Ovis aries: one gene and its partners. The protein of the gene in region 2 interacts with the protein of the main gene of each other region in a pairwise test. Links are inferred from orthologs where the notes say so. Each region holds a gene or a part of one and is shown on either strand. Other genes may lie near its edges. The genes, in order: PPP1R3C, EPM2A and PPP1R3D.

Evidence for each region.
Region 1: the proteins of EPM2A (region 2) and PPP1R3C interact in binary tests that used the Homo sapiens proteins (3 or more experiments, as listed by UniProt). The link is inferred for Ovis aries from reciprocal best matches to the Homo sapiens genes EPM2A and PPP1R3C.
Region 3: the proteins of EPM2A (region 2) and PPP1R3D interact in a two-hybrid assay, tested with the Homo sapiens proteins (2 studies listed by BioGRID, with this or other methods). The link is inferred for Ovis aries from reciprocal best matches to the Homo sapiens genes EPM2A and PPP1R3D.

Annotation. Positions count from the first base shown.
Region 1 is NC_056075.1:13,010,820-13,020,781, forward strand, and holds PPP1R3C (protein phosphatase 1 regulatory subunit 3C), read right to left. Parts: upstream 5,243-9,962; 5' UTR 5,155-5,242; coding exon 5,141-5,154; intron 2,873-5,140; coding exon 1,930-2,872; 3' UTR 403-1,929; downstream 1-402.
Region 2 is NC_056061.1:70,232,089-70,241,894, forward strand, and holds the start of EPM2A (laforin), read right to left. Parts: upstream 4,832-9,806; 5' UTR 4,776-4,831; coding exon 4,478-4,775; intron 1-4,477. UniProt on the Homo sapiens protein: Plays an important role in preventing glycogen hyperphosphorylation and the formation of insoluble aggregates, via its activity as glycogen phosphatase, and by promoting the ubiquitination of proteins involved in glycogen metabolism via its interaction with the E3 ubiquitin ligase NHLRC1/malin.
Region 3 is NC_056066.1:56,296,513-56,306,514, reverse strand, and holds PPP1R3D (protein phosphatase 1 regulatory subunit 3D), read right to left. Parts: upstream 6,088-10,002; 5' UTR 5,875-6,087; coding exon 4,975-5,874; 3' UTR 2,658-4,974; downstream 1-2,657. Other genes in the region: protein FAM217B, read left to right, coding at 9,916-10,002. UniProt on the Homo sapiens protein: Seems to act as a glycogen-targeting subunit for PP1. PP1 is essential for cell division, and participates in the regulation of glycogen metabolism, muscle contractility and protein synthesis.

The DNA of each region.
Region 1 (9,962 bases), on a different chromosome or scaffold from region 2:
TCCCCTCAGTCTGGGACTGACGCCCTCTGCCTGCGACACAAGCTCTGCCCTTTCACGAAGGAGCTGGAACTCAGGAGACAGCTGCTCCAGCCCTTTTCACACCATCCCCTCCCCCACTTCAAGCTGAGAAGTGGCCCCCAAGATAAAACTGAGAGTGTGTGATGAGCAGTCAACACAGATGGGGACAGTTGCAACAGCCCAGGTCACTGCCTCTAGACCCCAGCCCCAATGGTCAGGAGGTCGAAATTCTCACTAATGAGACTGGGACCATGGGAATACCTTCAGGCGGATCCAATTCCTGGTCCAAACTAACCTTGCTCAGTTAAACAAAACAGGAGAATCTCAGTTGATGGTTTCTTATTTAACTAACTGGGACTTTGAGAAGGAAAACATTCTCAGATCTTATATCAAACACTTTTATTTTTAAAGTGAGAAGTTCACAGAGGATAGCTACAGGAGAGTGAAATATTTAGAGTAGAAAAATTGTGGGTGCTAGCCAAACCTCAAATACTGTCACAGCAGAGTTATTCCAATAACTTTTCCAGCATGGCATATCACACGTGTTAAAATTAACTGCATTCTCAGAATACCTTTCAACGGATGTGCGTGATGATAGAAGTGAACATTCAGAGGCTCCTGTTTTGAAGATCTTACAGAATGGATTTATGCACAGTCCAAAACAAAGTATATTACAACACACCCAAAACAATTCACATCCATTTAAAAAAAAATGTTGACTTTCAAGAAATTGGTAGGAAGACTTAAAATAACAAGAAGAATATAGGCAAGAAATGGCTACTTTTATGTGCAAGGTACTGGATTCTTGAATTGAGAATCAGTGTCAGTCTTCACTTCCAATATCACATTGATAAAGTATGGCAGAAAAACGAATCACCTTCAATATGAAGGATGTGAGTTGCCCACACTGACAACACTCTTGAAGATACAACAGTGTCGCAAGAGGAATGCCAGCAAACAGAGGGGACCTTCTGATGAGGTCAAACACTCATGAGTTATCAGATGACCCTTCAGATACTTGGGTTAAGCAACTACAACATTCTGGTTTAATCAAGGCACTTGCAGCGAGTGATCCTTGACATGACATAGAGTTCCTACCAGTTTCTGGCCAATGATGAGGGCATGGTTTTTTTTTGGTTAGGCAGCATCTACACTGAGAACCCAGGCATAATACCTGGGCCACAGGTAAGGTCACTTATCCCACTAGGACTGCAAAGCCAGATTTGCTTAAGGTTTCCCCAGATCATGATTTTTGATGAGTCACGTTTGAACAAAAAGGCTTCATGTAAAAAATCTGATTCTCCAGAGTTATAATTCACCTTTCCCCAATAACCACCCAATACCCCTAAAGTTTGTTTGGGTTCTTCTCCACGAGAATGCCTAGAATGGATCTTTTTCTCCCCCCTACAAATTACTTCCCCAGGAGAAACCTGTAAAACCAACTTAAAAAAACAAAATAACCTTCATTTTCTCACCAACGGTTAAGTATCAGACCTCCTGCTCCTACTCTGACCTGAGCTGCAGAGCCCTTTGTGTATACTTTTCAGACATTCCTCATACCATTAACACAGCTTTCCATCACCATCCACTGTCCTTCCTCAAACCTTTCCTTGCCCAAGATGAAAGCCAGTGCATTGAGAGGGAAGGAGAAAAGGGTATAGACAGAATATTACTTTTACAAAAATAGGGTTCCAGGCTTTAACTTGATCCTCCACAGCAACACTGGGCACTGTCATCCATACAAACCCCTACACTAAATTCTCAAGGGGCTATCTTTTTTTTGTAGCCAGGTCTCAAAAGCTCCAACCTAAACCTACTGAAGGAAAGTAGCAACGCCTTCCTAAGATTGAGCAACACAGACCTAGAATTACATGGGGAATAAGGTCAAGACTGGTCACCAGGTTGCTTCATTCATCGGTAAGAGGCCAAGTTCTCCATCCTCCCCCAGCTCTGCCATTCTGGGAAGAGCCCACTGGCCAGCCTTGGACTGCCAAAGACTGTCGACTCCAGCTCGGCCTTGGCAGGTGGTGCCTGGTGGAAGGCACAGTCCTGGGCTGCCATCTGTGTCTGCACCCCATCGGGTTTCCACTGTGCATGGACGATTCTGTAATTCTGACCCTCGTTGTTGTCCCAGAAGACCTGCCCGTTAGCATGGTAGGCGACACAGAACTCAATTTTCTCCTTTGTGGGGATGACAGAGGGTAGGTCAATGGCAAACGAGAAGGTGTCACTCTCCGAGCCACCGTACACATTTTTCATGTAGGCACAGTCCACGTCGTTGTAGCTCTGCCAGGAGTCAAAAGTGATCCGGATCTGAACCTTCTTCTCAAAGCTCATGTTCTTCACCTTCACAGTCCCCGTCACTGTTCGCTCCTGCAAAGAGCAGTTCTCCAGGCAGACAGAGTTCTTCTGGAAGTGGTTCCGAAAACTTAAGTAGTCAGCTGAAGGCTGAGGGAAATCCAGAATCAGGTTCTTCTCCTCGTGGAGCTTTAAGCCTGAGGAGATATCATTCAGGTCCAAGAGGTCAAACTGGAGATCCCACATGGGCTCCTCGGGAAGGTCTGAGAAGACATGGATGGCGGTGAGGGAGAGGCCCTTAGAGTCCGCAAACACCACCCGCTTCTTGGCTTGGTTGTGTGAAGGCTTCCAGCCGTCCTGAGCTCTGGCTTCCTGTTTTATGTTGAGACACGGCTTTAGGGGCTTTAATTTGTTCACAAAATTTCTTCGTTGGAAGTCATCATAAGGGCTCAGGAAGCTCTTCAGAGGTGGGGAATGAGCCAAGCAGAGCCTCACAGCGACATCCACGGGCATGACTGAACTTGTCAGAGGCCGTGGATCTAAGACCTGGATCATTCTAGAATACAGAAAGAAGAGGGGTTATCATCTGCACCTAGAATGCACTTCCCCTGGTCCCAAGTAGGTCTGTACTATTTTTGTTGGCTATTACAGCCAGCACAGCGCTCTCACATGAAGTAAAGGAATGCAGGATTAGGTGATAAAAGCTGCATCTTACGTTTGGCTCTGCCCTTGACAGGCTATAGGCCACGGGTTAAAACACTTGGTGTCCCAGTTTCTCCATCTGAGAAATAAAAGATTTGGATGGGATCAACTCTAATACAGCTCTAAAACCATTTGCTCTGTTCTGGAGCACCAGTTCTCAAACCTGTCTGTTTTCAGGCAGGTTCCTTACTGTTTGAGCCACCACGGAAGCCCCCACCATGGCCTAGTGGGTTGGATTTCTTTTTTTTCAATGCAGAATCCTTGGACTTAGAGCCTCTAATGCAGAACCCCTGGGGATGGAGACAAGAATGTATATATGTTCTTAAAGCTTCCCAGGTAAGCCAATGACCAGACAGGTTCTAGAATCAAAGTTCCAAACTGCACTCCCTCAACTGCTTTGATGATTTTGCTATTGAATTAATTATACTTCTCTGGAACCATAATCCATTTAAAAAGAAAGAATAAAAACAGCAAAGGGTTTTGAGAGCCAAAGACTAGAAAGAGTAAATTAGAGGATTCTCTCTGCACTTTCATTACCATGCTCTTCCCCATTTTACACAAATAACCTACTGAAGTGCAAGGCAGCCATTTATGAATTTAAAAATCTTTACATAATCTGTATTTCACCCAAAAAGACATCCATGCCAACTCCACATTTAAGTGGGAAAATCTGATGATCTGAAAATTATTGTCATTATTTAGTCACTCAGTCATGTCAGACTCTTTTGTGACCCCATGGACTATAGCCCACCAGGCTCCTCTGTCCATGGGATTTTCCAGGCAAGAATACTGGAGTGGTTTGTCATTTCCTTCTCCAGGGAATCTTCACAACCCTGGGATTGAACCCGTGTCTCCTGCATTGCAGGCAGATTCTTTACCGCTGAGTCACTGGGAAAGCCAAACCTGAAAATAGGATAGTTTCAATAAATGTGTTTTATATATATATATATATACACACACACAACACATATATGAACTTATAAATGTTGAAAAGTCTAATAGGAAGCACAACAAAAAGTTAACAATTATCTCCGGGTGATAGGTGATCTATTTTTGCCTTTGTACTTTTTTGGTATTTTCAAATGTTCTGGCAATGGATATTTATAACTAGAAAGATAATAAAGCTATTTAAAATTTAGACATAACTATGCCCAGAAATATTAAACCATGAAGTGTCCATCAAGAAAGGTATTTTTTCTGGCCTTTAGCCCTGAGTATACATTGCCAAACTTATGGACATTTTTCCCCTACCCTAGCCTTCAGATAAGAAGTGTGTGTATACTGTATGTGACATTTCTCGTTCCGGCTTTAGTAACTGTCTTCCCAGCAGCTCTAAGCACATAGCCAAATGGTCATTATCATAAGATGGGTAATAAAAGAATATTCTGAGAATTCACTTTATTAGCCCTAGGATTTTTCTGGGAGACCTACAAACTTAGAACAAACAAATGAGAGAGAAAGCTATATTTATTGGTCTAATAATAGTTAACAGGCGGAAATTTTAGAGACGTCTTCTGCTAAGTTATGTCTAAAGAAGCTATTTAAGTAGTTTTGTGGGTGGTTTTTTTGTTTGGGGGTTTGCCCTGTATTTTCACATTTTGCACTTATCTAAAGACAGTTTCAGGATACGGCGATTTCCCTGGAATGTTAAGTCTGGCCGAAGAGTTTAAAAATAATCATTTGCTCAAACTCCCGAGACTGGCTTTGCTATGGCAAACCGTCAGAAGAAGGAAAGAGGACCAAGGAAAGTGAACATCGTCCATCGTTAAGTTTTTCCCAAAGCTAAACTACACAGCCAGCAATCTGAGTGCTCTTCCCACGAGTCCTTGAGACCTCTGTGCAGGACCAAGAGATACGGTTAGAATCCACGAGGGAATCAGAACTAAAGCTGACTCACGTTTCTGGTTTAAGATGCCGTTTACCGAAATCAGCTCTGCCTAAGATGCTCAGAGCAAATCTTCACACCTCCAAGGCCTCCCCAGCGCCAGATTCTTCAGCAGCCTGTCAACCCGCCCTCCCCTGGGGTCTCCGGGGCGGGGATGACAGCAGGAAAACGCATCCCAGCCTCCCGACAGCTGCGCGCTCCCTGAGCTCCGGGTCGGAGAATCTGCAGGGAACCTACCTGGTGCAGCTCATCAGGCAGAGGAGCGGCGGCACTCCGCGGTTTGCGAGAGTTCGCACGCGTCTCCCGGGAGTCCCCGAGTGGCCGCAGCTCCGGCAGATCGCGGGTGCGGCCCCCGGGAGGCCGCTTAACTGCGGGGGACCACGTGAGCCGACTGCCACGGCCAATCGCTGGGCCGCGGGCTCGACGGCGCGACCAACCAGCGCTCAGCTGGGGCGCGAGCCCTTGCCGGGACGTGACTGCCGTGGTGCAGGGCTCGCCGGGCGCTGGGGGCGCTCTGGGACCCCGGGCCAGCTGGCCGGGGTAGAGTAACGCGAACCCCGGGCGAGGAGGCGTGGAGGCAACCGCGTAGCACAAGTAGCCGGCGCAGGCCAGGAGGGAAAGCAGCAAACCTCCTCCCGCGCGGAGCGCCAACACAGCGGGGCTGCAGGGAGGGAGGTGTCTCACTCGCGAGGCTTCTGTATACAGTTATCTGAGGGCAGGACACTGTGGCTCGTTCCGGGGACGCGTGGAGGGGTGGCGGTGGGGGAAGGGGATGTGTGTGTGTGCTTATATTTATAGTTTTGAAATGTTTATCTTGTTCATTGCTTGGTGCATTGGCTTATCTTCTCCCTTTCCTTGCCCTGAGCAATCAGAAGTTGACTGCATATTTTGGGGTTAGGGTGAACCCGGAAATGCACCACACAGTACATTCTTCTCTAACCAATATTGTTAATAAACCGTGTTAGTCCGTATTAAATGCTTCAGCCCTGTCCGACTCTTTAAGATCCCATGGACTGTGGCCCGCCAGGTTCCTCTGTCCTTGGGATTTCCCAGGGAAGAATACTGGAGTGGGTTGCCATGCCCTTCTCCAGGGGATCTTCCTGATCCAGAGATTGATCCGGGTCTCCTGCTTTGCAGGCAGATTCTTTACCATCTGAGCCACCGGCAGTCTGTGTTAGCCCTATTATAAGACAATGAGGCAGCATTTCATTAAAAGGTACTTTGTATTTCAATCTAGTCTTCAGCTTTTCTCCCTGGAAGAGAAAACTAAAGCCAGAAATGAAAAGGCCTCTTTTGCTCATGTGGTGGGTCAGCCCGCAGAGCCAGTGGTCAACCCAAATCCCTCATCTGGGTTCTGACGTCCTCTGGCAGCGATGTGAAAACCAAAATGTTAAACTATCACACTGTAAGTTTCATGACTCTCCCAGGCCGGTTATTCTCATCGAGGTTTTGTAATTTTGTTTAGTTTGGGGAGTTTTTAGACCATCATCAGTTACAACCATAAAATTAAATTTCTAAGTCGAGTAGGAATTGTTTGTATAAAGTCCATGTCCTTGCTCTGCTCTCAATTTAGTTATCCAGCAGTCCATAAAAATGTACAGAATATACAATGTAAAATGTACAAAAATCCCTATGTCTTTAAAATCACCGTTCAGCAGCAGCAGAAGTGTTAAAATGGTGTGGTTAAAGAAAAAGTGAGTTATCACTGGGGCAGTTATTTATCACTTGGGCTTGATTTTTTAAAGAAAACATCCAACTAAAAGCAGATCTTCTAGTTTCTCAGAACAACCAAAACTAGCTGAAGGGGCACTGTTTGGGTTTGACACTTTCAAATCTAGACAAGTTTGAGCTTCAACTCCCTCATCAGTAAAATGGAGATAGTGAAATTGTTCTGAGGATTAAATGAAACTGTACAGATGAGAAAACTCAGCAAAGTGCTTGGTATGTGTTCAACAACACTATGTTGAGCTAAAGAGTGGATATTACCAATTACAGTTACAGAGAAACATGAAATAAGAAAAATAAATTGTGATCCCATTTTAGGGGTAAGACATGCATATATGGAAAAGAGAATATACTCGACCGAAACGTTAACAGTGCTTAATTTGGGGCAATAGAGATATTATGAATAATTAAAATTTTATTTCTCATTCTGTGGGCTTCCCTGGTGGCTCAGATGATGAAGAAGCCGCCTGCTGTGTGGGAGACCTGGGTTCAATCCCTGCATTGGGAAGATACCCTGGAGAAGGGAATGGCTACCCACTTCAGTGTTCTGGCCTGGAGAATTCCATGCACTATACAGTCCGTGGGGTCATAAAGAGTTGGACATGACTGAAGACACTAATACTAACAAACTGAGCAACTTTCACTTTTCACTTTTTTGTCATTTTGCTTCTCTGTATTTTTTATTTTTTCTACAGTGAAGAAAACCTGGACTTTTTCTGTAATTGAGAAATCATCATTAAATGACTTAAGACTTTCAGATTCAGCTAACATATATACCTTACCTACTAGGTACTAGGAACCATGTTGGAAGCTTTGACATGCTTACACCATTTACTCATAGTCCTTTTGAGTTTGGGCTTCTTTCCATTCAAACTGCTTTCTCTTCTGCCCCCTGGTGCTGACTGATGCCATAAAAGCCACTATTCTGAGCTTAAAATAAAAATCAGGGATACAGGGCTGTCTCCATTGACATGAATCCGCCACAGGTGTACATGTGTTCCCCATCCTGAACCCCCCTTCCACCTCCCTCCCCATCCCATCCCTCTGGGTCATCCCAGTGCACCAGTCCCAAGCCATGTCAATGTATGGCAAAACCAGTACAATATTGTAAAGTAATTAGCCTCTAATTAAAATAAATAAATTTATATTTTTTAAAATAAGGGCTGTCTCCAAAGAAGAGTCAACACTCAACTTCTAAACTGGATGGTCCAGGACTCCCATTTCTCTTCCCTCCCCTCACCTCAGATTTACTGAGATGTAAGTGATATATAACATTATGTAGGTTTAGAGTATACAAAGTATTAATCTGATGTATTGCAAAATGATCACCACCACAGCACTAGCTAAAACCTCCATCAAGTCACATAATTACCATTTCTTCTTTATGGTAAGAACATTTGAGCCGCTTTCAAGTGTAGAATAATACAGTATTATTAACCATGTGGTAAATTAGATTCCTAGAAGTTTATACTCTTTGACCATCTCCCCATTTTCCCTATACCCTCAACCCCTGGTAACCACCATTTGACTCTGTTTCTATGAGGTTTGCTTTTTTATAGTCCATATGTATATGAGATCATATGTGAATATTTGTCTTTCTGTGTCTGACTTATCTCAACTAGCAGAATCAGGTCCCTCATTTCTATCTCCCTCCAGGGTTTTACTGCTCTTCATTGTGATGAGAGGGACTGGAATGGAATCAGCATTCTTAGTCATGAGTTGCATCAATAAAGACACAGTAGATTAGGAATTGTGGGAAGTTTTATAGTTACTTGTAATTTTTCTCCAACTGCAGTTTAACAGCATCCAAACATTGCTTTGTCCTACCAGTCTAAACAATGAATCTATTGATGAGGGCTTCTTGATCTGTGCAGTGCTTCTAGCCATGCCAGGGGTTACAAGGATTCATAAGTCACAGCCCCTTGACCTTGAGAATGCTACAATCTTTATTATAGAAAACCAGATTTAAACTCATTAAATACCCAGGGAACAATTTAAGGTCCTACAAAGCAAGGGGCTGATGATATGTGACATACACAGTGTCTCTTCCACCATCTGTCCAACACATTACCAGCTACGGGAAACAGGGACAGGGAGTCCCAGCCAGTCAACTCATTTTCTCCAAACTTGCCCCTTTTTTCAGTGCCCAGTGAAGAAAGTTCTTGAATATACTTTACAGTTATTAATATTAAGATGCTAGTACTCAGTAGTAACAGGATGAACCTCGTAACTGATCTTCAAGCCCTGCCCTGTAGAGGCAGTGAGGTTGAGAACTGCTCATTTTCATGAAAAGAACTGAGATTTCCATTTTGAAGAGAAGAGAGAAGCCAGTTCACGTGACTCTATGAATAGTAAGCTCTCTCTTACACTGACTCCTGTCTTCTTTAGCCACGTGGGCTGGGCACACCAATAGCAAGTGAAGGAGTATAATTTAAAAAAAGAAAAACAGATACTTATGGAAAGTTTACTTTGGGTCAGGGACTGCTTTAAGCACTTTACAAATAAATATTAACTCGTGTAATATTTATAAGAATCCTAGGAAGTTGAAACCATGTTGATTATCCATATTTCAAGATGAGGAAACTGAGGAGACCTGGAGAGTTTAAGTAACTTGTCCGAGATCGTGTAGCTAGTAGACATGGGGCAAGACCAGGTTTCAAAACCCTCTGGAGTCCACACTCCAAGTGTGAGTTGCTCTGAAAAAAGACAAGCACCACACTGGTAACCACCAAAACCAAAAAGATGGTCTGTAGAAGGCCAGAGAGATTCAGAAAAAGGAGGGCTCCCTGGGGAATATCTGTGGAATTTGTAAGGAGGAAGTGAGGCTTGGGAAATGGGAAGATTAACTAGACTGGAGTATCATCTTTGGGGCATTTAGACGAGAATGCAGCTGAATGGCTCAATCAATGAGAGAGTGAATGCCATCACAGTTGAAATGGTACCAGCAGCTCATCATTCTACTCAAAGCACATATTCCCATAGGGTAAGAGAAGGAACCAAAGTATTGCTGAGTAGACTATAGTAGTAGTAGTAGCGTTAGTCACTCAGTCATATCCAACTCATTAGGGCCCCATGGACTGTAAGCCACCAGGCTCCTCCATCCATGGAATTCTCCAGGCAAGAATACTGAAGTGCATTGCCATTCTCTTCTCCACATGGTGAGTAGACTATACTATTGGCCATTCTGTTTGCACTGAAAGGATATTCAAGCATTATTTTCACTTCCTGGATTTTTTTTTTTTAAGTTTAAAAAAATCTCTACTTTTAGAACGTCCCAGTAGGAGAACAATCTGGGTGCTACGGTGAATGCACAATTGCTGCTACCAAAAGTAAG
Region 2 (9,806 bases):
TGCTGTTCCTGTTTTTAAAAAGTAACTAGAAAGTTTAAAACAAGGTATAAAAAAACATTGCCACTCAAATATAAAGTAAAATGAACTCTGATATCATTTTACATAAAATCTGAGCATGATTTATAGTGTAAGAGAACTTTTCCTCCTAGTACACAGGTTTCATGTTACAGAATTATATTTCTAAACTTTTAAATTAGTGCAATTACACTACTTGGTTCTGCAATAATTATTTCCCAATCATAATAGTAAAAATAACAACAAGTAACACTTATTTAACACTTATATGTCCTATCCTAAGCTCTTTAGATTTATTAGCTAGTTTGGTCCTTTTAACAATAGCACAGTAAAGTTAAGTGACTTGCCCAAGGTCATACACTGGTTGGTGAAGCTAGACATTCTGGCTCTAGAATCCCTGCTCTTAAATACTGGCTATGCTGCTTCTCATTTTGCTGTCTGTTAACTTACAATTCTTTGAATCAACCTATCAGCCTAAAACAAAATGGCATAATAACAATTATACTACAAAATACAAATTATATAGAACTTAACATAGAAACAATGATTAACCGAAGTAAAGAAAAGGAAAGAAGTGTGCAGGTGTTATTTTTCTTAATCTTTTATATATACATGGGCTTCCCAGGTGGCGCTGGTGGTAAAGAATCTGCCTGCCAATTCCGGAGACATAAGAGACACAAGTTCTATTCCTGGGTAGGGAAGATCCCCTGGAGGAAGGCAAGGCAACCTACTCCAGTATTCTTGCCTGCAGAATCTCATGGACAGAGGAGCCTGGGGAGGAGGCCACAGTTTATAGGGCTGAAAAGTGTCAGACACGACTGAAGTGACTTAGCATGCACACATACAACTTTCTATATAAAAGAAGCATAAAAGAAGAAATTTCTACATAATAGAAAGTCAACAGTAAACTACATGAGTATAATGTAAAATAATAATATGAAAATCAGCAGGGAGGGGAGAGATAATGAACCTGAGCTAAATTTCTCATATTTCACAGCAAGTAAGATGATTAATTTTATAGGTATATAGCAGCAGTCAGTAGACATTGTCTAATTTTAAAGTGTAACATATAATTCATGTGGCAACTCTCAGAAAAACCTAAAAACAGAAAAATTCAAGTTGATACATTAAGAAATTCAGAAAAATATCTGAATTTGGGAGAATTCAGAAAAACTAAAAATAGAAAAGGAGGACTGGAAAAAGGGAAGATCTTTGTTTTTAACCATCTTAATTTTTATTAAAATTATCAGATATTACTTTATTATGAAAATAACTATGCAATACTACTAATAATAGAATATCCTATAAAGAAGGGCATAATCGATGAGAGTACCTTTCAATTGTCATGGTAACACAAAAGGACAATAAATGGTACCAGACTATGAAACTCAGTGGGGTGCAAAAAGAGGAACAAGGATAACATATAAACATATTACAGAACATTCATGCTCTTTGCTGATTCTTTGTTTCCACATCACTATGGCCACTCCAGTACTCTTGCCTGGAAAATCCTATGGACAGAGGAGCCTGGTAGGCTGCAGTCCATGGGGTTGCTAAGAGTCGGGCACAACTGAGCAACTTCACTTTCACTTTTCACTGTTATGCATTGGAGAAGGAAATGGCAACCCACTCCAGTGTTCTTGCCTGGAGAATCCCAGGGTCAGAGGAGCCTAGTGGGCTGCCATCTATGGGGTCGCACAGAGGCAGACATGACTGAAGTCACTTAGCAGCAGCAGCATGAGCTAAATGGCCCACTTTTTCATATAAACTTCCCCAGGGACCTTTCATCCACTTTAGACAACCACTGAGCCACACACGCTCCAGTCCCCTACTCTGTACGTTTCATTTAAAGAAAGGGCTGTCTAAATTCAAACTCGGGCAGGAGTCTACACTTGGCATCACTTTTTCAGGGAATAATTTGGCAACCAGAATAATTTGGCAACCCTTATTCCCTGGTGGCTCAGATGGTAAAGAATCTGCCTACAATGCAGGAGACCTGGGTTGGGTTCCTGGATGGGGAAGATACCCTGGAGAAGAGAATGACAACCCACTCCAGTATTCTTGCCTGAAAAATTCCATGGACAGAGGAGACTGGCAGGCTACAGACTATGGGGTTGCAAAGAGTTGGGCACAACTGAGCAACTAACACTACTACTACTACTGAAATGTAAAACACGGCTACTCTTTGACTTAACAATTTCACATCTCAGAATCTACCCTACAAAGACATTTCCAAATGCTCAAAGAGAACTTTATACAAGGACTTTCAATTAAGCTGTTACTGTTTATAACAGAAGATGGAACGCAATCTAAATGCACACTGGTAGATACAGAATATTTCATTACCATTTAGAAAATGAAATACATCTACATGGAGTAACACTAAAAAGTTTTTGCAACATGTTGCAGAGCAAGAAAAGGCAAGAAGGTGAAGATATTATACAACTTGTGTGTGAGACAAGTACACACTTCATATATTGGTATACATGGGCTTAGGGTGAGTGGAGGAAACAAGTTTTTACTTTTGTACATGTTTTTGCTTTTTTTTTTCCCAGCCACCACATGGTTTTGTATTTTTGTATTGGTTTTGTATTTTAAGAAATCAGAGCATATCTCCACTGCCAAATTATGCTGTGCTTAGTTGCTCAGTCGTGTCTGACTCTTTGTGACCCCATGCCTCTTGATGAAAGTGAAAGAGGAGAGTGAAAAAGTTGGCTTAAAGCTCAACATTCAGAAAATGAAGATCATAGCATCTGGTCCCACCACTTCATGGGAAATAGATGGAGAAACAGTGGAAACAATGTCAGACTTTATTTTTGGGGGCTCCAAAATCACTGCAGATGGTGACTGTAGCCATGAAATTCAAAGACACTTACTCCTTGGAAGAAAAGTTATGACCAAACTAGATAGCATATTCAAAAGCAGAGATATTACTTTGCCGACTAAGGTCCATCTGGTCAAGGCTATGGTTTTCCAGTAGTCATGTATGGATGTGAGAGTTGGACTGTGAAGAAGGCTGAGCACCGAAGAATTGATGCTTTTGAACTGCGGTGTTGGAGAAGACTCTTGAGAGTTCCTTGGACAGCAAGGAGATCCAACCAGTCCATTCTGAAGGAGATCAGCCCTGGGATTTCTTTGGAAGGAATGATGCTCAAGCTGAAACTCTACTTTGGCCACCTCATGAGAAGAGTTGACTCATTGGAAAAAACTCTGATGCTGGGAGGGATTGGGGGCAGGAGGAGAAGGGGACGACGGCGGATGAGATGACTGGATAGCATCATGGACTCGATGGAGTTGGGTCTGAGTGAACTCCAGGAGTTGGTGATGGACAGGGAGGCCTGGCCTGCTGCGATTCATGGGGTCGCAAAGAGTCAGACACGACTGAGCGACTGAACTGAACTGAACTGGGCTGTAGCCAGCCAGGCTCCTCTCTCCATGGGATTCTCCAGGCAAGAATACCTGAGTGGGTTGATATGCCCTCCTCCAGGGGACGGTGAAGGCAATGGCACCCCACTCCAGTACTCTTGCCTGGAAAATCCCATGGACGGTGGAGCTTGGTAGGCTGCTGCAGTCCATGGGGTTGCCAAGAGTGGGGCACAACTGAGCGACTTCACTTTCACTTTTCACTGTCATGCATTTGAGAAGGAAATGGCAACCCACTCCGGTGTTCTTGCCTGGAGAATCCCAGGGACGGTGGAGCCTGGTGGGCTGCCGTCTATGGGGTCGCACAGAGCCGGACACGACTGAAGCGACTTAGCAGCAGCAGCAGCCTCCAGGGGATCTTCCCGACCCAGGGATCGAACCCAGTTCTCCCGCACTGCAGGAGGATTCTTTACCTTCTGAGACACTAGGGAAGCCACATATTCTGGGCTTTGAAAAAAAATTCGAAAAGAGAAAACGCTCAACGTCTTGCCATTTGTTCAGTCTCAAATGGAAAAGAAGAAAAATAAAATACACTAAGCAGCATGCTGCCGTTTAGGATTAGCGAAAAGGCTAGCTTTACTGGGTGGGTCATTTTTTAGTGGATTGGGGCAGGAAAATGAGGGCACAAAAACAGTCACGGCGGAGTTGAGGAGCAAAACCCAGGGGCGGCGGGGCCCAGGGAGCCCGCCTCAGGGAGGATGCGGGGGGCCAGGCGGGCGGAGGCCAGAGCGTCTGGGCAGCAGGCGCAAGACACCAGGTCCCGGGTGTGTGGGAAAGAGGCCGGAGGGGTAGAGACCGAACTGACGGCAGACCGGGAACACAGCCTCCACCAGGGGAATCGGTCGGGAGCGGGACGCCCGGCTGGTGGCGACAGCTGGGCGGCCAGGCCAGGGTCAGCCCGGGGCGCCCGGGCAGTCCGGGCGGCGGGCAAAGCCCGAGATCCAGGCCGAGCGCCCGGGGAGCCGCGGGGGGACAGTGGAATCCGCCCCAGGCCGAGGCCGGGGCCCCGGGGTGCAGGGCGGCACAGCAGCCCCCGTACCTTCCCAGGAGAGCTCTCCTCCCGGCTCGCGCTTCAGGAACTTGTACCAGAACGTGTCCACGCGGCCCGGCTCCGCCCCGTCCTGCGCCGCCTCCTCCGCCAGCTCCACCTCCCCGAGCCACAGGCCCGGCTCCTGCAGCGCCAGCGCGCCCGCGCCCGCCGCCGTGCCCGCCGGCCTCAGACGCACGGCCCCACGCGGCTCCCAGTGCCCCAGCTCGGGCCGGGACCCCACGACAAGCAGCTCCGGCCCTGCCCCGGCCACGGCGGGCGACACCACCACCCCGAAGCGGAACCGCATGGCGGCGGCGGGCGGCGCGACTCCGGGTGCCCCGTGTCCCTGCGACCGGGAGACGCGGCCCGAGCGCTAGGCGGACGCGGCGATTGGGTCCCGGGCGCGGGCGGGGACACGTGCGAGGCTGCACCTTTTTTGGGCTGCATCACGCGGCCCAGGAGCCCGAGCCTGATCCAGGCCGGGGCCTCTGGCCGTGGGAGGTGGTTCGCTGCGGCCACGACCCGTCGCGCCGGGAGAAGGAGGCTGCGCCCGACCCGCGGCCTCTTCTAGCGGCTCCGCGGTTGGCTGGGGACCCGGGGAAAGCAAAAAAAAAAAAAAAAAAACGGGCTAGGAAAGCAAACTCCCCATAAACTCCGAGAGTTTCCAGTGACCTTTCCAAAAGACTCGAAATTATTTCTGTGATTATAGGAATAATGTGGTCTTTTCTATCAAAGAATATAATCAACTTCCTTCCTAGGAAACCCATGCCAGTTTGTAGTCTTAAGTTCCTGTACTGCATGGCAAATAGAAGGGAAAAGGTTGGAAATAGTGACAGAGTTCCTCTTCTTGGGCTCCAGACTCAGTGCAGGCTGTGACTGTAACCATGAAATCAGTGTGGACGGTAACTGTAGCCATGAAATCGGAATAGGATTGCTTCTTGCCAGGAAAGCTATGACAAACAGTGTGTGGAAAAGTAGAGACATTATTCTGCCCACACAGGCCGGTTTAGTCAAGGCTGTGGTCTTCCCAGTGGTCACTTTTGGTTGTAAGAGCTGGACCTGGACCATAATGAAGGCAGAACCCAAAGGCAGAATGCCTTCAAACTGTGGTGCTGGATGAGACTCCTGAAAGTCTCTTGGACAGCAAGAAGATCAAACCAGTCAAGAGAGAGATCAACACTGAATATTCACCGGAAGGACTGATGCTGAAGCTGAAACTCTGGTATTTTGGTCATCTGAAGTGAACAGACAACTCATTGGAAAAGTCCCCCATGCTGGGAAAGATTGATAGCAGAAGGAGGAGAGGGCATCAGAGGAGGAGGCATGACCGATGATGGACATGACCTTGGGCAAACGTCCAGAGATAATGAGGCATGGAAATGCCTGGCGTGCTGCAATCCATGGGGTCGCAGAGAGTCGGACAGGACTGGGCGACTGAACAACAACTAGGAAAGTTCCTGTAACCAAGCTGCACATGTTGGTAGGTCTCCAGCGTCGCAAGCGGATTCTTTACCAACTGAGCCACCAGGGAAGCCCCTCCCCCACCCAGATGCTTCATTCGTTCCCGGCCTCCTCACTTGGCAGCTGCTTCAATTGAATTAGCCAATCGCGCTGGATTGTGCTACCACGCTCCCATCAATCCGAATTGTTGTTGTTCAGTCGCCCTGTGCGAGTCTTCAGGGTCCCAAGGACTGCAGCACGCCAGGACTCCCGGTCCCTCACAATCTCCCAGAGTAAGGTACAGCATGTCAGGGATAAACACGGAGAGAAGCAGACTTCCCGCTCAGTGTGATTGACCGCCAGACTGTTATAGAGTATTTTTCTCATTCTCCCCGGCACGAGTCGGATTAGATTTCCAACAATTTGGGAGCTCGTCGGGGATCCACATGACCTGGAGAGATCGAATGAACTACCCACCCCTACAAGTAGCTAAGAAGCACCTCTTCTGGGGATATTTCTCCTACAAGGGAAACAGCTGGAATTGAAGCTACTGGAAAAGAGTGCAAGAAACCTCTGAAGAAAGAAGGGGGGTGGATGGTGATGAGCCTCCAGTCGAGTGCACACAATCAGAGGAGATGTGTGCGTGCTAACTCGCTTCAGTCGTGTCCGACTTTGCAACGTATGGACTGTAGCCTGCCAGGCTCCTCTGTCTGTGGAATTCTCCAGGCAAGAATACTGGAGTGGGTTGCCATGCCCTCCAAGAATCAGATGATAGGGATAAGGTCGTAAGAATTCTTCCTTAGGCAAGAAGGATTCCAAGGGGGAAAAGGCCAATAACTAGATTCGCCTAAATGGTCCCCTAGGACACATGCTCCAACATTGGGGAGATAATCCTAGGAGGAAAGGGAAAAAACAGATGGTTCTGTTTCATTTGGACTCAAGAACCTATGTTGAAACCATCAGTATTTTGGCCTAAGTTTGGGTTAGATGAAGGTTGGATCTGCCAATTGCTTATAGAGTTTGTTAATGACAGGAGTCCAGTTGCCCAGGAAGAAATAGATTATGTTCTTTGTTGGAGAAAGGGGCCAGTGGTTCTGTTCCCCTTAAAGATGGAACTAGGTAAAGAAAGGAGAAGGAAAATAGGAAGTGGGATCCTCTCAACTGTTAGCCTCATCCTTATAACCCAGGAGGCCTACAGCCTGAACTGCCCAGGAACCGCTTCAGGTAGAAGAGGAAATAAGAACAGAAGAGAGGGAAACCAAGATGGCCACCATGGCCTCAGCACCCTCTCCAGCACTGTTCCCCTCCCTTCCTCCACTGAGGAAGGAGATAAAACAATGTAAAGTGGACATTCAAAGTTCACCCTTCCCCTCAAAAGGAGAGAAACCTCAGGCCGTCTACTTCTCCAAGAAGTTCACCTAGGAGGAAGGGGAACTGGATTTGTGGACATCCCCCTTACCAGCTCCAAGGTTCAAGAATTGAAGAAAGAACTGAAGGCCCTACTAGAGGATCTACCTGGGGTTGCAGACCAGCTGGATCAACTTCTAGGCCCCCAGATTTTTACATGGGCCGAACTTATGTCTATCTTAGGTGTTGTGTTTTCTCGCTAGGAAAGATCAGTGATTCGGAGAGCAGCAATGGCCGGCTGATTCGAAAAGGAAATACCCAGCTAGCCCAAATGCCTTAGTAGCTGAAGTGAAATTCCCTAACCAAGAAGCCACAATGGGATAATAACAGTCCTGAACATAGGGGTCATATGAGAGATCTCAGGGACCTAATAATAAAAGGGATCAGAGAGTCAGTTCCCCAATCCCAAAATATTACTAAGGGCTTTGACATCAAGCAAGGAAAAGATGAAGGGCTGGTTGAATTTCTGAGTAGGTTAAAAGACCAAATAAGAAAATACTCTGGATTGAATTTAGATGATCCTCTTGGCCAAAATATGTTAAAATTGCATCTTATAACTAATACTTGGCCAGGTATTTCTAAGAAATTACAGAAATTAGACAATTGTAAATATATAAGTTTAGAAAAATTAAGGGAAGCCAGAAGGTATATGTAGGTAGGGATGAAGAAAAACAAATAATTAATGTTAGAAACCAAATTTCCTTGGACCAAGTGCCTCCCAATTACTCTTCTCAGAATCAGAACTGCCCCTCATAAGAATACTGGATTATTCCCATATGAGATGCTGTATGGCTTACCATATATGGGTCCAATTGCTGACCTGCCAAGCCTGGAAACTAAAGACCAATTTCTGAGAAATAAATACGTGGCCTCTCCTCTACTCTGCCTTCTCTTAAGTTGCAGGGCCTGTTGGTTGGCTCAGGCTCCATCCTTGGATTTCCCATGCATCCTCATCAGCCTGCTGATCGTGTTCTGAGGAAAACCTGGAAGGAAGACAACTCAAACTGGCCTGAGAAGGACCTGATAAGGTACTGCTCATGAAGGAAACAGCTGCCCGCACTGCAGAGAAAGGTTGAACTCATTATAGGAGAATCAAAGGGACTCCATCCCCTAACAAAAAAGAACAATGGGCTGTGGTCCAACACTCCAATCCTATAAAGCTGTCTTTGAAAAGACTTTAATATCCCTCTTGGTCATTCTGTATACCAAGATGCTGATTGTTGGGGGCAGCCCTTATCAGGTCAACTTAATTATTAATGTGACCATTAGCATGGATCCCCTAACTGTGAAATTTGATGCTTTCCAGGTCTTGCCTTATGGTGACCTACACAGCCAAAAACAGCTATCTGAAGAACATAAGTACCTTTGTCCTGAACCATATCGGGCATGTCAGGAAATGATCCATGACAACTCTCCTGCTATATTTGGGCCAAAGTATGGGGGACTACCCAGGACTGGTTACACGGCTGAGCCATATAAAGCAGCTCCCACCCTAGTGGAACTAAAAGATTATCCCTGGCAAGGGGGGGTCTCTGAGATGATTATGGGAATCTACAGTGTAACCCACTGTTGTTAACAGTCAAACCAGAGATAAGCATCCATCTCTTGAGCATTGGTATGGACTAGGGGCAGACATATCTGGGAGATATCCACTGGGAAGGTTAGCTATTAAGCTTGTTAAAAATTTTACCTCCTCATTAGTGACATAGACCCAGAACTCTAAACAAACTTGACCCTCAGTTCCTAATGACCCTACTAAGGTCACCATGGTAGAAGTGAAGGATTTACACCAAACTCTAGATCAAAGCTAGAAACCAGATAGCAGAGAGATTAGAACCGGTGTTATTCTGATGGTCCACCATCAATAAAAGTGTGGATTGGATAAACTGTATTTATTCTAACCAGCAGAGATTTGTCAACTATACTAGAGACACTATCAAGGGAATAGAAAACAATTAGACTCAACCAGTAAGATGACCTGGGAGACTGACTGGCCTTAGACATGATCCTGGCAGAAAAGCAGGGAGTATGTTACGCATGTGTGCATGCTCAGTCGCTCCCATCAGGTCTGACTCTTTGTGACCCTATAGACTGTAACCTGCCGGGATCCTCTGTTCATGGGATTCTCCAGGCAAGAATACTGGAGTGGGTTGCCATTTTCTTCTCCAGAGGATCTTCCTGACCCAGGGATCAAACCAGTGTCTCATGGGTCTCATGCCTTGCAGGCAGATTCTTTACTACTGAGCCACCAAGGAAGCCCGTATGTGTCATGATAGGAGGTCAATGTTGTACCTTCATCCCCAACAGGGCCGCCCCTTATGGCACAACAACAAGAGTCCTGCAAGGTCTTACCACCTTGGCTAATGTGTAGGCTGAAAACTCAGGGACAGATAATCCTTTCTCCATCCTGATAGTGGCTCAGCAAATGGAAAGGTATAAAGACCTCTGTCCTGACCTCCCTAATCATTGTATTTGGAGGAATGGCCCTAGG
Region 3 (10,002 bases), on a different chromosome or scaffold from region 2:
CGTGCGTGTATGTGTGTGTGTGTGTGGGGGGGGGGCGGTCAACTAAGCAGATTTGGCGTTCCAGGCAAGCCTTACAGGATAAATGTGTATATGCAGGCCGATAAAAGGATTAAGGTTTAAAAAAAACACCCAACAACTTGTCAGAGGCATACATTTCCTCCCCAAAGCTGACTCAATGGAAACTACTAACAGTTTCGATCGTGAATCCGGACTCTTCCCAACACTACTCAAGTGTTAACACAAGCTATTTCACCAACAGCTGCAAAATGGCATCGCCCATGAGCCCCAGACCCATTTCATCACCCTTCTGCTGGTACCGTGGACTCCACGACCCCACCCCGGAAAGGAGGGGCCACGGAGAACATTCTTGCGAAGAATGGCTGCGGGACGGGGAGAGGGGAAACGTGTGTGCACCGCTGCCGCGAGAACACACACCCACAGCCACCCCTGAGCGCATTTACATCGTCCCAGAAGCTAAGCCGTCGGGGCTGGAGGGGACCAGAGTCTGGGCTTCCGCGCCGGTTCCGAAACTCTGACCCGCGTGTCCACTCTCGTCACCATCAGTGTTCTGATTCTGATCAGTGCTCGCGTCCGCGGTCATCCGCGGGCCCGCGCGGCACCCCGCCCCTGAGCTCCATACCCGTCCAGGACACCAGCTACCCGAGCAAGACCAGCGCGGTCCAGGCCGCCGCCGGCCCCTCACGACCACACGCCGCGAGACTCTTTGGCGCGAGGCCCGCACCGCCCACCCGACGCCCCGCCGGAGGCCGCCCCCACCCCAAGCCTTGGCTGCGCCACCGCGACCGTTTCTTCAACGGCTCCGCCTCAACGGTTAGGGGGCCGCTTGCTAGTTCCGCCGCCCCCGGAGGCCCAGCGGACGCCGCAACTCTCCCCTAACGCGCCCCACCGTCAAGGAAGCCCTCCCGGGAACCCAGCTCAATCTGTCGGCTGGAAGAGGCCTCCGCGAGGATCTCCTAGATTCGCTGCAGCCCGGCGTCGAGTCCCCGAACCTCCGTTGTCGCCTCTCCGCCTCAGGCGGCCAAGGGAGGGCGGGAAGCGCCCGTCCAATCGGCTTCGCGTGCGGTTCGGCACCACGTCCAATCAGCGCTGCCGCCGGACAGGTCCCGCCCCTCGCACCCGCGCAGGCACCTCCTAAGGCCGGAAAGGGAGGGCCAAGGTAGGCGCGGCTCGGAGCTTCAGGTAAGTGGGAGGCCGCGCGCGCGCAGGCCAGACCCCGACCCCTGACCCCGCTCGCCCAGCGGCCTCGCCACGAGAGGAGGCGCCAGCGTCCTTCCTCTGCTCTGTCTTCCCTCCCGCGGTGTGGACGCGCTGGAGGGGTCGACTGGGCCTGCCCTGCTCGCAGGACGTGAACCTGAAGGGCCAGAAGCGCCAGCGGCCCTAGGAGATCCCCGGGCTCCCCACAGCCACCCGGGAAGGCTGGACGGGACCGCAGAGACACTAGGGCCCTAGACGAACCTGCGGGGACGCGTGGTTAGAGTTCCCTGAAAGAGGCCCACGTTGCGGGCCAGCAGAGGGCAGCAGAACCACTCCTGATCAGCCTCCGCTGACCACCGCACTCCGCCCCGCTCCCCAGGCCACGCCCACCTCGCCCCGGCCCTGTCTCCAGCCCAGGCCCTGCTCAGGTTTCCTAGAAGCAGGTTCTGCGAATGAGTGCTCTCACTAACTTGAATCCCAGACCCCTCGGGGACGGGGACAGAGCCCTGAGGCCGTCTTGGCTTGGCACTGAGCGAATGAAGTGTTTCCCCAGGGATTTTAGAATGTTTCAATTTTAAAGTATCAGTTTAAATGATAAAAGCAATGGATGATTGTGGTGTAAATTAGGGAATTCAAAATTACAGCAGACAAGCAGGTCAAAAATTAAAAACAATGACTCCTCACCTTGCCACTTTTTAGTAGAAGAAAAACGTTTAGAGCCCTTTTTATTGTTCAGAAAATCCAAGGATTATGTCGTAAATGTCACTACCACATGCAAGAAAATATCATTGATTTTATTTAATTTCATTTGACTTGTTTTTAAATAGGTCTTTATGTTAGATGGAAAACCTTATCAGTCATAATCCGAATGGACATTCAATTAAATTTAACAAACTCTTCTCACATGGCAGAGAGAAGGTGGGCTTTGCAGTGGGTTTGAATGCTAACCTTGCTACTTACCAGCGGTGGAGCTTTAGGTGAATTACTTAAATCTCTCTGAGCTTCATTCTTTTCAGCTGAGAAATGGGGCTATTATCTACCAGATAGATCCGGGAATTGGTGATGGACAGGGAGGCCTGATTCATGGGGTCGGAAAGAGTCTGACAGGACTCAGTGGCTGAAGTGAACTGATCTAACAGTGCAGTTTTCAAGATTAAGTGACATCAAATACAGCACCTAGCATTGTAGGCCAGCAAATAAGAGAGAACATAAGTTGGTTTCCTTTCCCTGTGTTCAAAGCTCTGTAATTGAGTGACAGTCACCATGATGTGTGTGTGGAGGGGGCGGGGGGTGAAGATACACAGTAGTTATTCCTACATGGGCTTCAATAAGCAATAAGATGAAGTATGTGTTTTCCTAGAGCTTTCTTCCTATGTAATACTGACCTGGCATAAAAGGATGCATCTCAGTTTCTCAAAGACACACACGACTGCTGCTGAAGCTCAGGTGACATCATAAAATGCATTTATTTATATTGGCAAGATACTAAACATGACAGCATTCTAGGAAGGATAAGACATGTGAAATGTCTTAATCAACACATTTCTAAAGCCTTGTTTCACACTAATCAGGCCACAAGAAAAACACACTTCAACCAACAACTTGTGCACATATACTTTAATAGTGAGGCTTAGGTGAAGTTATCTTAAATGGCTTGTATTAAAATATGTTTGCAGAGATAACCCAACAACTGCACAGGTCACACAAAACTTGAATATCTAGGCTATGTCACTGTGTTTTCAGGCCTGCAAATCTTAAGCTGTCCCAAAGCTGCTTTATTAACTAGGCAGGTATATTTAAGCTTTAAAGTTTTCAAAGGCACAGGGAGGTTCTCTTAATATTGAAGATACAACATTTACTACATATTCTGTGACCAGATCTTTTTTGGAAAATGATCTTTACACAGATTATAAGATTCTCCACATGCCTTTACATAGCAATATATGTCAGCTCCTGCTCATATGTGAACACCCTGGACAACTGCTTTGCACACTGGGCTAGGATCCAGGGCATAGTGGCCAAGGCCCTCATGGGTTTACTGACCTAACTGGACAGTTTGTCAAACAGCAGGAAATGCGACCAGGCTTCTTTGCCTCTTGCATGTCAATGGAGTACACAGTGCTAACAGCCAGTGATTGTTCAATTCAGTCACAATGTTTTAAATCAGAGTTCCATATTCTTAGACCAGAAGGTACCAAAGAAAGCCATCCTTGTTGCTGGAATTTTTAAAAACACTGAAGTTGCCATTATAAGAAAAGAAATTGGTTAAAAGGCAAAATGCATCCTTTGCATACTTACTTGACAAACGGTAACAAGCATTCAAATATTTAGAGTTAATTCACTGGTGACAGCTATCACAAGATTTATCGAACTGGCTTCAGCTCTTGGAAACCAGCTTCCCAAGTTGGAGACCACCTCCACCTTAGCTGGGTTTTCACACCTCTGTGCTAGCACCTGCTGTCAGACCACCACTCAGCACCAAGAGAAATAGCCCCTCGCTGAGAGTTTTAAGTTGTTGTGGCACTCTGCAGGAGACAATGGCCTTGACTTCTTGGTTGGAAAGTTAAAAAAAAAAAAGCATTTAACATTTTAAAATTGGAAAACAAGTCCAGACAAGGCTACAAAGTTATCTATCTGAAGGCACAAAGATTAAAGTTGGCAGGTAGTTGATAAAACCAGGCATATACAAATACAGCTTAAAACAACTAAAATGTATAAATATTTGTGTATTCTCCCTCCAGTCTGGTTGTTGCTGAAAATACCTGCTAGTTCCACTTGATAATGTGACTTCTGAATGATGATTGCTGGAATCCTGGACACTTAAGACATCAAGAGTCACCATAATCGTCAAAAAGGTAATTGTAAAGGGCATTGTTGCCCAAATTCCACAGTTTCCTGAAAACTGAAATAACTTAAGGCGGAATTTCTTTAAATACTTAGGTAGCTCAAACCTAAACAGAGTGGCCTGATAAAGTGCAGATACACAATTATCAAACATGTAAAATACATAAAGTGCAAAGAAACACTGCAGAAGGGGCTGTTTTGCTAACTAAAAGTTCTAAATGTTTTCCTTCTTGGCAGTTGCTGATGGAGGAGACACACAGCCTAATGGGGCAGCCTGAACTCCCAGGAAGGATTGTATGATGACGGAAGAGGCATCAATTTCTTGCCTATTAATAGTTTCCCGGCTGTTAGAAGCCTACAGACATTGGCATGCAAATGTGACTTCAGGTTTTCCTTGTCCCAGGGCAGGAAAGCTTCAAGGGACCATGATGGGGGTCACAGCATATACATTCTGTTTACAGTGGGCACAAACAGACAAGAATGAACTTTTTTTTTTTTTTAAGCTTATTAAGAATGTTCCCAAGAAGGCACTGGCTAAGGGTAAAATGTTTCAACATCGCAGTGATGATAAATAAGAGCTATATTCACAGAGACGCGATCACACATGCAAAAGCCACAGGCTTTCCCAGTTGCAGGGCGCAGGCCTTTCCAAAACCACCTGCCTGGGCCTTCTTCATAGGGCCAACTCACTCGTGCATCTACTCACCCAGCACCCCACCCAGCACATGACAGCCCGGCCTTCTGGCATCGGAGGCCACGGTTTAGACCAAGTGACCCAGACATTTCAAGTAAAAGCATAGGCGTGCCACAGCGAGCACACCTTGCAGCTGCGGGAATCGAGGTCCGACAGCCCCGGCTTGGGGGTGGAGTGTGAGGCAGGGCCACGTCCCAGACGCACGAGGCCCGCCAGGAAGCTCAGATAAAGTGGATCCAGCTCTCCTCGCACTCCCCGCGCGGCATGTGCAGTGCGTGGTTGCGGCACGTGAGACTGTAGTCGCGGCCGTCGTTGTTGTCCCAGTGCTCGGCTCCGGCCACACGGTAGCGCAGCGCGAAGTGCACGCGGGAGCCCAGCTCCAGCAGGAAGGGCGGCACCGGGAAGCCGAAGGCGAAGACGTCCTCGGAGCCCCCGGAGCCTGCCGGCCCGCGCCACCGCGCTGCCACCTCGTGCGCGCTGCGCCAGTCCGAGAAGGTGTAGCGCACTGCCACCTGCTTCTCGAAGGCCACGTTGCGCACGCGCACCGTGCCGCTGATACCCAGGTCCGAGCAGGTGACACGCTCCAGGCACACGAGCTGGCGCCCCAGGCGCTCGCCAAAGTCCGGAGCCTCGACGGGCGGCGGGAAGTCGGGCACCAGGCACTGCAGAGTGAACTCCAGGTCCTGGCTGCTGCAGCACAGGTCCGAGTTGATGGCGAGTCGCGACAGCACGTGCAGCGGCACGGATGGGTCTTCGCCCGCATTGAACACCTTGACCTGCGCCAGCTCCAGGCCCAGCGCGTCAGCGAAGCGCACGCGGTGCTGCCGGCTGCAGCCGGGTCGGCACGCAGCACCCGGAGCGCCCGCGCCCTTCTGGCGGCGCTCGGGCGAGCTGGGCAGCGAGCGCGCCCGCCGCAGGATGATGGGCCGTAGGCTGGGGTCGCAGCCGGACGCCGCGGGCGGCGGCGGCGGCGCGCTGCCCGGACTCCCCGGGGGCCGGCAGGGCCGCGGCTCCCGGGCCGCGCCGCCGTCCAGGTCAGAGAGGCAGCTGAGGCTCCGCGGGGCGGGCTTCCGGAACCCAACGGTGGCGGGGAGGACCGCCGAGCCCGAGCCTCTGGACATGGCCCGGCCGACCGTCGAGAGATGCGGAGGCGGAACCGAAGGGCGGCCTCCCTCCCGACCCTGAGTCCGCTCCTCCGGTGTCCCGAGACGTGCTCAGCGACCCTGGGGAGGGTCCGCTGGAACCGCCGCCTGCAGAGGACGCAGTAGGCCGGCTTCGCGCTCCCCTCGTCCGCCACCTGGTCCCTCGAGTCCTCCCCCTGGTTTTCCGCTTTGGGCAGGGGGGAAAAAAAAAAAGCTGGTTTCCAGGACGAACGCTTCCTCGCGCGGACGCTCCTCGAGGCCGCAGCGGAGCGCGGGGTGGCGGCGGCCTCGGGCTTCCTCCGGGTGCGGGGAAGGCGGTGTCCGCCCAGCTGCCCCGCCCAGCGGCCCCTTCCCGGCCGCGCTTTACTCACCCGGCCGCGACTTGTCGGAGCAACTTCCCGGCGAGCCTCCGCCCCGCCCCTCGTGACGCGGCCGGCGCGGACTCCCGCGGCCCAGCGCAGCCGTCTGCCTCCCGCCCTGCCCCGCGTCACGTGTCCTCCGCGGCCGCGAAACAGGTCTGGTCAGTGTCTGTCTGCGTCCGGCCGGCCAGCGCGCCGATCGGTCCCAGATCGGCGTCTGCTCGCGCGGAGGACCCGGAGCATGCACGCTGCGGTCACCGGATTTCTGGGCTAACGCGGGCGGGGGAGGGGCGCACCACTCGGCCTGCTCAGGAGCCGGTCCCCGGCTCATTTTAAGCCTCGAGGGTAGCCAGCTCTCTGGACGTTTGCGCTGCAACACGGACCCTAGGCCAGACCGTGGGAGCCTGGCTGCGTAGACGAGAAGCGTCCTGTCCCCGCATCACCCACAATGCTTTGCTGCGGGGACCGCTAGCCTTGTCCCTGGGGGTTGGGGAGGGGGCGGCGCTGCTGCTACTGCTGTCTCCAGAGAGGCTCCAAACCGGAGAGGAAGATATGAGAACAAGGGTTAAGACCCTGTGACAAATAATAAGGCTGCCTTTAAACAGTCTCTGGCGCTTGGGACACATTTTTGTAGGCAGAATCCAGACTTTTAGCTTTGTTCCCGAACCTTCAGGGAAACCAGAGCTTGCTTTCAGCATCCTTAGGGACCGTGCAGGCTGTCACCTCTTTGCTCTCAGTAACTTTGTCCAGAAAACAGCATAGCCCAGGGTGTAAAGCTTGCCAGGTGAAATGAAGTGGAGAAGATGGAGTGCACTTTCTAGAGAGTTCTAGAGTGTTCCTATACAATCTAGAGGGACAAGGCAGCAGGAAAACCAGACTAATGAAGGGGGTTGATGAAGAATGTTTTCTACATCTGAAACGAATCGAGCAGTTGATTATGGTCTCATTCATTGGTTGTAAGGGCCCGCATGTGGTTTTCCTTCTCATCATATGTACAGGGACCAAAATGGCATACCTGCTTATTTTGAAAAATAACAGAGCAGAGTTTTAGGAGGGAAATAAAAATGTATAATCCCAACTCTTCCATTTTTTCAGAGGCAGGGGATTTTATGGAAGAAAGAAGATTCACATTCAAATGGGGCACTTTTAGTAGACCACTCAAGAGCGGAGAAGCAGCCTTGGGTGGTACCAATCGACAAAATGTCACAGAGAGAGAACATTGCGTGATATGTATTACACTGATAAATTTTTCATGGACTGATGTGACAGTGAAGGCAGGAGGCCTGAAAGGGGGCCTTTCCAATAGAGTTCAAGCTCCATGAGAGTAGGATAGGTATCTAACCCTGCTGTTTTCTAGGCACTCTATTTGTCGAAGGAATGAATGAATGGACACAGGAACTTTGGAGTAACAGCCAAACTTAATTAGCCCCACAGAAGTCCTCAAAAAATTATTTCCAAGGAGATTTTGTGTGTATGTGCATGTGTGTGTATGTGCATTTGTGTGTGTGTGTGTGTGTGTGTGTATGGGGAGAGAGATGAAATCCATTTATAGTAGTGTGATCTTGTATCTAATACCCACTGTGAAAAACAAGCAAAATAGATTAAACCATAAATAGAAGGCAATATTCCCCCATTCAAACTTTTTATACAATTTGAATATTTAAGAACAAAAAAGTGAAAAGCAGCATGATAAGGGTGATAGGGTGTTTGCAGTTGGTACTTAGCGACACTGTTCTGTTGCTTCTAGTTCCGGTGGTCAGGCACCCTGCCCAAATATTAGAGGAGGAAAGAAGCCACTTCCCCTGCTGTCAGCATCTTCCAACAGATTGAGCAAGAATATTTCCAGCACTACAGAAAAGGTGATGTAAACTTAAGTAAAAATCTCATTTAGATTTGTTCTGGTTTTTCATGTTTCGTGTGTGTGTGTGTGTGTTTAGGGTGTTTATTAACTATATGTCTTTCTTTTTAGACAGTCTATCCAACCCTAAATGATGATCAGCCATGTGAATTTTTCAAGAAAGGGAATAGGGTGAATGAATCTTATCAGAAAACCAGGTAAATACTTTTTCATGTAATTACTTTATCTTGCAAAGGGAGCATGTTCTCCAGATTGATATGTGTGGCTGGGAGAAAAATATGTCTGTAGACAAAAGTATATACACCATATTTCTTGTCTGACAGAAATGGTTTTAAACATTACTAGTTGGTAAAAATTCTAGGAGGTCATAATTCTTGCACTGTTAGCAGAATCCACAATTTTGGCTAATCATCTTTCTATGTTTCCTTTTCTATAAAAAGGATACTAGTAATAACTTTTATGGATGCACATAGACAGCTAGAGGTAAAGGAAAGTTTTAACAATGTCGGTTATGAGTTCTAAATCATGGCAATTACTTTATCCATTTCTTCACTTTTTTCAACATTTATTGAGCACATGTTATGCTGCTGGCAATAATTTAACCTCCTCCATGTTTATTAAGAGGTGGCACATTTTCAAGTAATCGCTTATTGTGGTAGAGACCTGCGGCAAATGAACCTCTGAGGTTTCCACGAAGCATGTTTACCATCCCTTTTTTTTTTAAACCACACCAGACTGATGTTGCTGAGAAGTATTATTCATCTTGGTAAAGTACACTGTTGTTGGTAAATAAGTAGAAAAGAAAATATCTTCACCTCTGAGATGAGATGCTGCCTCAGAAATAAATTAGAGGATGAATCAGTTGCCGTGCTAGTAATGTGTACAGTATTCATGAGATCTGCCTCCCCACCACTCAAAGGGCAGTATTAACAAGGCCCTACTGCAGAGCATGGGGGAGCTGTGTTAAAAATTATCTTAGGATAAACCATAGTGGGAAAGAATATTTTTAAAAAAGAATGTATATGTATGTATAAGTGAATCACCTTGTTGTGCACCAAAAACTAACGCAACAGTGAAAATCAACTATACTTCAATTTTTTAAAATGATAAAATTTTAAAGAAAAAAGTAGCATTTAAGCCTTTTAAAAAATTTATATTGTTATAAGGCATTGTGTGATTTTATTCCTATCCCTCTAAACACTGCTTTCCCTAGTGTGTTTTCTATTTAAAGATATGCTGACACTTTGATAAGCTTTTGGCTTAAGGTGTAGGTTGTATATGCTACAGTTTTCCTTAGGATATTTGCTGGCTCAGAGTTACCACCAACCAGTGATTAAGTTCTGTAAAACGTGTATTTTACATCCAGTCTACATTTAATTTAAACTAGGTATATAAAAGAAAGGTGTGGATTTTATTTGTTTGTGTTATTAAACACTGCTCATCATTAACAACAGACTGAGTGTTCTACAAGAGATATTTTTCAAAGTACACACAATGGGTTTAAGATGGTAATATAAGTACTTTACGAAATGTTAGTGTTTTTCTTAGAAGCTAATATTTGATGCAAAATGAATCCATGCATTTACTTCTGGCACCTGCTTTATATTAATATTATTTCCTAAGTAGAGTATCAAGTGGAAAACTGTCCTATAATTTGCAAGTTTAGAGGCCTCACATTTTCTAGCCCGTTGTCATAGCTGAAGTGTGCAACTAGAGGCTTCTTTTGATTACTTTCTTAAAATCATCAGAAGGCCAGTTTGTGTCACATGGACTAAGAATTGCAATTTTATTTCTCGCAGCAGTATGAATGCAGGCCCATCTCGGACTAAAGTACAACATCCCAAGAATTCCAGAAAAAGACAGAGTAAACCCCAAGTCCCCCACATTTCT